Neodiprion lecontei: one gene and its partner. The protein of the gene in region 2 interacts with the protein of the main gene of each other region in a pairwise test. Links are inferred from orthologs where the notes say so. Each region holds a gene or a part of one and is shown on either strand. Other genes may lie near its edges. The genes, in order: eukaryotic translation initiation factor 4E and eukaryotic translation initiation factor 4E transporter.

Region 1 (5,034 bases), on a different chromosome or scaffold from region 2:
TGCTGAAAAGAAATTTACAGAAAGCAAATGAAAGGAATAAATTGGACATTATGTTGAACAACAATGTTATAATTGTAATCATGTAGTTAGTAATAGGAATTGAAAAGTGTACGGAAGCCGGTCTACGAATGTACCGGAATGTATTCTACAGATGCATCCCCTATGCTTCTAGTTACACAGGTCTGGTTTAAAGAACAGATTGGCACAATTTCTACATCAGATGAAAGCAATGGCAGCAAAAACAAGACTGGCTAAATGTTATGAAAAATATGAGAAATAACAGTGCGATAATTCTTCAGAAGAACAGAGGACCATAATATATTTGGTTTTTTAGCCCTCTGAGGGCAACCATTTTCAGGGGTCCCTTGTTTAGGCAACCCTGTGTTAAGCAGAATTGGTTTTGTTTATAAAAACGGTTTAAATTCATATTTTTCAGCTTGTAAATAGTGAAATGAAATCGTTAGAATGTCTAGCGTACGATGGTAGAGGAACGAATTCGATATGTTTACTTTAGATGACGTAGTAAGATTTAATACAAAATGAGATATAAGGAATTGGCAAAAATAAATGGGTAATGATCCAGGTTGCCTCCAGAGGGTCAATCAGCCCTGTATCACTTGAAGTCAACAAAATACAGTCCAAATGCTAACCTTGCAGAATATTTTTTGTAAAGCCTAGTTCAGATGATCATATGTACATCTTTGCTTCGACAATTACCTTGAAGTGGGAACAAATTATAAGGAACAAAATAAAACAAAGATAAAATGTTAATCCAACAAATGGTAGAGTAAGTTCAATAAATTTTCTAAAGCTAAATTATTGAAATGGTTTTTGAGCAATTCCTTAATCATATGTTTGATTTTTTGTCTCATTTTACAGTAAAAGTGAAAGTAATGCGTGAAAGCTGCATTAGACAAGTAATGAAATACTGCACAAAATACAAGCTTTATAATACATATCACTGCATACTTTACACACAAGAAGTGTGTAACTTTGATAATGTTTCTAGCATTCGTACAGTATTGGTTAATGTTAGTGACAACTTGGCAGAAGAAAATTGTGAATTAGAAACGATGTAATGTAAACTGGGAAGAATTATCGAAATAAAAACAGGAGCGTTTGTTATCGTTCAAGCAGCTTAATTGTTATGTGGTTTGTTTACATTTTCTGGTTGGCTGTTTGGATATATCAAGTGAGGATGTTCTTTTTGATGTCCAGTCTTACTCCGTTGATTTGTAGTCTTTCTATTAAACATAATATGATCATCCGAACCTGCTTAAAAAGAGATAATATCGAAAAATAGGTCAATTTTGATGTAACTTCAGGAACAAGCCTAGAAGCTGAGAGTAGTTTTATGACCTTTGTGGCAAAATTGTACGGTGGATTAAAACGTGCAATAGCTGTTTACATTACAAAAATTTGACAAGAAAATTAATCACGACAAATTTAGAGGCATGTTTCATTCAAAAAAATGTCTAAAGACTAATTACACTGTCTTTACCAACCAACGAGCTAACCCCAAATTACAACACGCCTACAAACCATCGATTTTCTAACACGAGATTCAAGAAGAATTGAGGAAAGGGATCCATAGAATAATAACATCGAATATTCACCGCATGCTTCATATTGATCACGATTTCACGGTTCACTGTTTACATGGAATATGTGAGTTGCAAAAAAAAAATAAATATGTTCACTACAAATCACGCGAAATTAGTAGCGTTCCGTGTGGTTGCTGCGAGTTTCACGCTCGCAGAGATGTCGCTGCGGACGAGGTTTTGCGTAGGTGAAAAAAAAAAAAAAAGAAAGACATATAAATAGGGGAAAACAAAAAATACGCCGTCTTTCAATTACAAAACAAAGTTCGTAATTTTCGTGATTATAAAAATAATCAGTGTATTATTGAAAATTTCTCGCTTCATGAAGTAATTACATCTACCTCTGGAAAAGATCCACAAAAAAAATCTGAAGGAACTCAATCATCACGATCGCCGAGGCATCTCTATTTCTTTCTTGTCTGTGTTTGGTCTGTGTCACTGCGTGTTGGTCTTCCCGTTTGCCTCTGCACCGGCTAGCTCGTTTTTCGAAACAATTCCTCGCCGAGCCCGAGTGACTAGTTACGCAAACTCTTACCGACAGATGCCCTTAGTTGTCATTTGCTGAAAATCCTGGCGGTCGACTCCTGTGACATGGCTGCAAATAATTCGGCAGAAATCGAGGTATACTTGTAAAATTTCGTTGAATTATCGTATTTTCTTAACCGAAACTTAACTCGCTTTCCAACGAATATCATTAGTCCGGTATTTTAACCAAAAAAGGTCCGGTTTCACGCATCAGCATGGTTGCTTCCTCGTGCTCCCCGCCGCCACCCTGACCCTCGTCCTTTTGCTGATAGGCATAACCTACTACTATCGCTTCGTTAGATCATTCATTTCTCTGCGTTAACCAATTCTCTTTCTCGTCTTACCGTAAAACGAATTAAAATGATACCAATCATTTTTGTTCGTTCTCCTTGTGTAGATTTCTCGACAACTATTCATTTCAATTCGCGCGATAGTTGATGGTACTTATCATTCATCACTCACGCTTTGGACAACTTCACTCCATACAAAATCTATCAAAGTACTCGTGGTTTCACACGTTCAGAGCTCCGTTCGCTTGAATATGCGGAAATCGCAGTGGTATATGTAGTTTGAATTTACATTTAATTATGTTTGCAGAGTCTGTAGAAAATATTTACCGGCAGTATATGAATGTTGTACAGTAAGCAGAGGTGTATTTATCATTGCAGGATACAGAGAAGAAGGACCAAGAAGTAGCAAATTTGGAAGAATTTCCACCAGAGCTTCTTATCAAGCATCCGTTGCAAAATACTTGGACACTTTGGTACTATGAGAATGATCGCAGTAAGACATGGGAACAAAATCAGCGTGAAATCACAAGTTTCGACACAGCAGAAGATTTTTGGAGGTATTTTTTATAGAAATTTAGTTTTGACGGTCCTTCCACTTTAATATTCCTTCTATCATTTTTGCAAAGTTGAAAAATTACCCTGAATCATTTGTTTAAAAAGTTAAACTCTCAATTAATCAATCAGTAGTACCAAATTCATGTACTGTCAAGTTTTCGTTAAAATTTTTCAATTCCAAAGTAGTATTTACTTCATGAGTAAAGAGAATGGAATGTATATCGCTTTGCTCTCTATGCTTAAATGATGTCAAGTTAGTTTTACGTGCTATACTTTCACATGGTCGTGATCCACTTTCTTCACATTGTATTACATCGAAACATTTACACTTGACCATCCTGTTTTTGAAAAAGTTAACAGTCTCAAGTATCCTGCATATTTCAGCTGTATTATCAAATGTTTTATTTAGTTTCTACCTGTATATTTACACTTCATCTTATGATTAAATTCTTTTTCTAGCTTGTACAATCACATAAAGTTGGCCTCAGAGCTGCGGCAAGGCTGTGACTACAGTATGTTCAAGCAGGGTATTCGGCCAATGTGGGAAGATGATGCAAATAAAAAAGGAGGCAGGTGGCTCATTAGCTTGGACAAAAAGCAAAGAGGAAGTGATTTAGACCGTTTTTGGCTTGAAGTTCTTCTCTGTATGATTGGTGAAGCATTTAACGAGTTCTCTGATGATGTATGTGGAGCTGTGGTCAACGTAAGACCAAAAGGTGACAAAATTGGTGTATGGACAGCAGATGCAAACAGGGGTCAAAGCGTATTGGAAATCGGGTAAGATATTTTTCTAATTAAACCAGAATTGGAAACTGCAGTTTTCCTTAATGTGCCGTATAACCTTTAATATTCTTATTGCAGGCGCAAACTAAAGGAAAGACTGCGGATTGCACCAAGGGTGCAAATAGGCTACCAAATTCATAAGGACACCATGGCTAAAGCAGGAAGCGTCACGAAGAACACTTATTCGGTTTAACCACAGCCCTTTTCTATTATTATTATACATCATCCTCATATTTCCTGACCCCAACCATTCGAATAACAAATAATTGCAGAGCAAATTATCTAATAGATATATTTATGGATCATCTGAATTCAACTGTCTGTATTCAGGAGAGGAATATACACATGTACAGAACTAGTGAATGGCTGAGCAAAGAAATAAGCAGTCCCTTCCCCTATTGCGCCCTCCAAAAATTATGTTGACGTAATCATGTTTCCTCTCATAATACGCGACTGAGTGATGGTTAATAAATGAGTTATTATATAACTAAATGCAAGATTTGTTAGTATAAAATTTTACATTGATATATATAACTTGTTCTCACAGTTATTCACCCAGAGGACATTAGCGCAGGCTGCTGTATTTTTTTTCCCTATATATATAATTTTTCTTTTATAAGAATATGTGAAAGAATCTGTACACAAAGGTATAGTCAAGTCATATGTGGAATAAAGTTATTCTTTTCTCACAATCCTTTGTTATATACCCTCCCTGATGTATAATAGGATTCGTGAAATAATTATCTAATTACTACCTAAAATTAGTGGTTTAGAAATGTTCGAATCAAAAGAATTTAACAGGAATCTTCCACTCAGAACTGAAATACATAAATAACCGAAATGCAGCAGCCAGCAAAAGCAAAATAATTTCTCAGTCCATTACTAGTTTAGTTGCATTTTCACTTCCATTTATACTATACGAATCTGCTTGAAACTGGTAACGATAGAGAATATATCTTTATTTTTCAGTGACCTATTATGTTATGAAAATTGTCAGCGTATGTAATACAGCATGCCAATTATAAATGTTGCCTTGTCAATTTATTTACTGTTTACTTCCCTGTTAAAACTGTTACATTATACTTCATTTTCTGTTACCTGCTTCTGAATTTGTCACTATGCGAATATACTATGTATTCGGACGTGAAACTAAAAATATACGCAGATAAATATTCAACAATTTGTTGATAATAAACGTGTGAAAAAAAAAAGCACAGTCCGGATTTACATTATTACGTAGACGTAAATGTACACATATTATCGTAATATATCCTCAGTAG
Region 2 (4,903 bases):
CAATTTCCAGTTACTCGCCTCTGGTTTGCTGATTGGGCTCTCTGGACGCCGAGTTGGCAGCTGGCTTACATTGACAAAGCATCCAGAGTTAAAATTTCGGCGTTGAGGACTCAGCACTATGCCATCCGACTCTTTACGGATTCGTTCCCGAAAATCACCGCTGCGACGTTTACTATGATTTTCAATCACTTGATCCCCGCGTCCATTTCTGTCATCGTCAGGAGGAGTTTCACTTCGCTTTCTATCAAGATGCCAACGCTCAGGGTCCCAAACGCCTCGCGAACTGGATGGAAAAACAATTGTAATTTAGATATAACAAATATACCAAATAATTATGGAACTTCAATAAATAAAATATACACAAATATAAACGCACTTATTATAAGCGGAATCCAAACAATCTGGCCTACGCTTGGATAGAGGTTGAGTCTTCATTTCCATCAGTTCCTCCTATGGATGGAAAGTCACAATGATTATTATATCATGAATTGAATTAGTGAAAGATCTGACCATTACCTAAAATTAATAGTAATACATCTTTCGCTTACCCGAGTATATTGAAACTGAGGTCGAGATCTGCCCACTTCCACAATAGAAGTATCAGTCACTTCGCCTGCCACAGACATCGATATTATCGCTTCATCTCCTGCAGCAATATTTTCAATTTTCAACATCATTCAAAAAACTAAAATGTATGAAATTCAGTTTATTATACATATATACGCAACAAACACAGATATAATTCTTATTATTATCAATTCATATTACTGGGTTTGGAAAATCGCACAATAAATGATGTGAAATGAATTATCTAGTTACGAGTTATTTGAATAGTTATATTTCACAGCAAGGATCTTAAAAATGATAAGAGTGAGGAATTTTTGAACTTCAGGTTAATGTTAGTACTTATTATGATTATGAAATTATTGTTAAACCATCGCATGCATGATACATGTACAAATGTATAAATGAGCTGTCATTTTGTAAGTCACATAGATGCCATATAAACGATGATGATAAGACCAATTATATATGTGACAGTATTGCTACCGAAAAACGTAAACCAGAGTGCAAAAGATGGGGTCCGGAGACATAACCCCACATCCAGAATCAGAAACTATGGGTTGCCTCAGTCTCTCTGTTGGCAGATTTAAGATATGTGCCAGTTTTTGAGGGCAAAATATTAGCTCTGACTGTACTTCAGTACCTCATAGTGTACACTTACAATTAATTATGAAAATCGTTCAATTTTTAGCCTTTAAGACGATGCTATAATCAGTCTGTACCGACCGAGTAAAATTTCGCTTAATTTAAATGTTACCAACGCTTATGCATTACAATCGCAAGAAAGCAGCAGAGCCCTTTTATGCCGTTTCATGCAAAAATAAGTCTAGGAAATTAATTGTTTTCATTCTTTTGATCGAAGAATTAGATATTTTAGACGGTATCCTGAAGTTTTTAATGTGGGATGAAAATGGGTTCCGAGTTAAAATAAATGTCAATATTCCAAGGATCTTGAATTTTCTAAACACCTTATATGTCCCTGGTACATTTATATCGATTATAAATATAATCCCATTTTCAGTTTACTCTCAAAATTCCAGGATATACTACAAAACGTCCATTATATTACACGGAAAAATAAATACAGTTTATTTTTACCCTCTTCGCATATACAGGACTGAAAATGTCGGGAAACATATATTGTTTTTGGCAATTCCTGAATTTCTCATGCCTTCAAATGTATTTTATATTCGGAGAGATCAAATGTTTTCCAACAAGTACAAAAAATTCGAAACCGTGATAAAATTGATCGTAACTCGTAAACATTTGACGTACAAGGGCTTGAAAATTGGACTTTCTAAATCATCCAAATTGCAACCAGATCGAGATAATTGAGGCTAAAAAGCTGTCTGCAAGTTAGCGGATCGGTAAAGCGGATACCTGACACTCTCGCAATGAATCAGATTGAAGTTAGTAGCGTTAAAGTAACGAAATATTGAAACTAAAACTATTGTTCTGAAAATTTAAAACGACTTTAAAGGAATTTAATTTCCATAATCAGAATACATTTGGCTTTTTAAAAATAGCTTAGTCAATTTGAGACGATCCTACAGTTGCGAAATAATGATTTTTCCTAAAAATTAATCGTTACATTAACGTTACTAACTTCACTGTCTTCGCGGTGAGAAAAGGCCATTCCGCCATGGTTGCCGCAATACACGGAGTCACCTCGTCTCGGTCGACGAGTTGCCGGCTTCGCCATATTTTCGCGGTATATGTACAATGTACGTATCGTTGTATGTCAATATTGAGATCAAACAACACCGATCGTGACACTGAACTAGTATCCGCAAATAAATCATAATACATTGTCCGCGCAAAGCCTGTACACGAAGCATTTTGAATGTAATGTAGGCGTATTCGTCTTTAGCAATAAGGAGAAATTGCCCTAGCGAATTACAACAAAACTGTAATGATGATGAAACAAAACTAGAAGAGAAACCGGAAAGGATTAACCCTTTCAGTCACAGATGCTCAGCGTCTCACCTCAACATTTCCATTTCCTAGCCTTATCGCAGTTTATTTAAAACATCAAATGATCGTTGTTACGTATATATAACACCAAAATCCTCGAGTAACAAGTTTGGACCAGAATCATCGAATTTTTATAGTTTTTATTAGATTTTACATCCGTTATATTGGATTTAGAAATGATTGAATTCTGATTTCAGATTCGTAATTAGCAACCTGAAAAACCCCCATGTCACAAAATTCAGGCTGAAATATTGAGTTGAAAAATGTGCAACTGAAAGGATGATGTCCTTTTTTGCGTTTGAGATACGTGGACTTCGATATTTGGAGATGCATATATACGACAACGTCGAAATCGACCAGGGTACCCCCTTAATGAAAAAGAAAATTTGAAACTCTGATAGCCAAGTGATACTCACGAAAAGTAACTCTTTTTACGGGATTGGAAGCACGGTTGCGACGAGACCATCGAACTCCTTGATTCTGGATAACCAGAGAATCAAGAATACACGAACCCGTCGGCCCAACAAGCGGGCGACGACGCGGACGCCGGTATCGATAAGTTGAACCGGCGCTGATTTCGTTATTTTCCAGCTTCATTTTGCAACGGAATAAGCAATATTTTTGAACACGTAAACAAAAGTAGCTGAATCGAACGGGTGAAATACGGATTTAACGATTAGAAGATGCGATCGACTCTTTCAACGCTAACTGATTTCGTCTCGAAAGACAACTGGCGATTTTCAACCACGGACAAATTCATGTACTGCTTCTTGCCTGCCGTACTTGCTAAACCGTTGTCCTTTGAATTCGACCGCGATGTTTACTATTTGGACACCAATACACATGCTATAAACCCGACTTCTTGCTGACCACGTGAACAATGTAGCCGAAATGGATGCTCAAACTTGGGGACAATATCCTCGAGAGTCGTCGGAAAGTACGAGACGCTTGAAGACAGACCGTTTTGACTAAATTTCTGATTCGTAATCCAGTATGTGAAATGTATGTAAAATCCAGTACAAACTAAATACAATTTTTTTTTCTGGCGTCTATCCGATGAATTAGAATATGCCTCTAATACTAGTTACTCATGGATTGAAGAATTAGCTCACGGTTTTGTAGAATGATTTTTGCGCAGTTTGCCTTGTACATTCAATTTTTCCTTGCGATGTACTACAGTTGGAAAAACGACGCGCAAAAATCAATTCGAACTGCAGGCATGTAGAGCGCAAAATTCGCCCTTGAGTATATTGTAATTGTTGACTTAGAACGGTATAATTCAGATACAGGTTTGGTTCTCTTGTACACTCAGCCCTCGGAGCAAAAAATAAGTTTTTCAGCCTTGAAATTGAGTACAGAGTGTAGGGGATGCGCCGCATAGAATGAGCAATCGTTAGTAGGATGTAAGATTAAAGTTTGTAACGTTAATATAGCGAAGTGTGTTTCGTCAAAAATCGTTATTTCGTAACTTTATGTAAATATTAAAAAATTCAGTAAATCGTAATAAAGCAAACTTCTCTCAAACTCCTTGTCCTGCTGCAAAATATAGATTGTTTTTGTGTTTTATTACGATTATTACGTTACTAATTTGAACTTCGCTAAATAAATAAAAAAAAAAAATTAAAAATAAAAAAAAAAGATTGTTGGACGTAAAAACTTCGGGGCGGGTATAAGTTTTAGGAAGTGTGCAAATATTTTATGCGATCACCAGGTTGAATTTAGTTCGCGGATAAAGGAATAATTTTGGAAAGAAAATGTTTTTCGCTTTGTCGCCGGGATAACGAAAGAATCTCCGACTTTTCCGACTTATTGTACCCAGCTTAAGTAAGAAAGTTGGTTGGTCAAAATCATATACTTTTTATAAATTTTATTAGGAGGTAGTCGTATATGTAGTATTGATCAAATTAATATATTCTTAAGCTGGAAAGATCGCTATGAGAATGAAAAAATAGAAAATACTGGAATTGCAAGCAAGAGCTTAGATATCGATGCTTCGTTTCAAATTGCTTCAAAATTGTTACGAATCTACTAGATTCATTCGATTTCACTCGATGATGGCTCATTTTATTTAAAGGACTATTAAATTTTCTACAAATTCACTGACACACTTTTTTATGATCTTGAAGTTAGTAACGTTATTGTAATGAATTAACGTTTCGGACAATCCGATGTTTCATTACAATGTTACTAATTTCAACCTCACACTTTTCATAGATATTTAAACTTTTTTTCATAATTCCAGTATCTATTTTGGTATTTTGAAAAAGACGATTTCATAAATTTTTAATGTACGTACCGTCTTATAATAAGATTAATAAAATGCATTAATTTTTTTACCGACCAACTTCCTTAAGCCTTGACATAA

What was found.
Region 1: the proteins of eukaryotic translation initiation factor 4E transporter (region 2) and eukaryotic translation initiation factor 4E interact in binary tests that used the Homo sapiens proteins (3 or more experiments, as listed by UniProt). The link is inferred for Neodiprion lecontei from reciprocal best matches to the Homo sapiens genes EIF4ENIF1 and EIF4E.

Annotation. Positions count from the first base shown.
Region 1 is NC_060260.1:30,404,914-30,409,947, reverse strand, and holds eukaryotic translation initiation factor 4E, read left to right. Parts: upstream 1-2,087; 5' UTR 2,088-2,192; coding exon 2,193-2,222; intron 2,223-2,794; coding exon 2,795-2,973; intron 2,974-3,430; coding exon 3,431-3,748; exon of another isoform or gene 3,749-3,832; coding exon 3,833-3,947; 3' UTR 3,948-4,446; downstream 4,447-5,034. Other genes in the region: uncharacterized protein LOC107224388, read right to left, coding at 1,163-1,244, 1,943-1,986. UniProt on the Homo sapiens protein: Acts in the cytoplasm to initiate and regulate protein synthesis and is required in the nucleus for export of a subset of mRNAs from the nucleus to the cytoplasm which promotes processes such as RNA capping, processing and splicing.
Region 2 is NC_060261.1:14,470,192-14,475,094, forward strand, and holds the start of eukaryotic translation initiation factor 4E transporter, read right to left. Parts: upstream 3,310-4,903; 5' UTR 3,136-3,309; coding exon 2,955-3,135; intron 647-2,954; coding exon 549-646; intron 451-548; coding exon 377-450; intron 284-376; coding exon 19-283; intron 1-18. UniProt on the Homo sapiens protein: EIF4E-binding protein that regulates translation and stability of mRNAs in processing bodies (P-bodies). Plays a key role in P-bodies to coordinate the storage of translationally inactive mRNAs in the cytoplasm and prevent their degradation.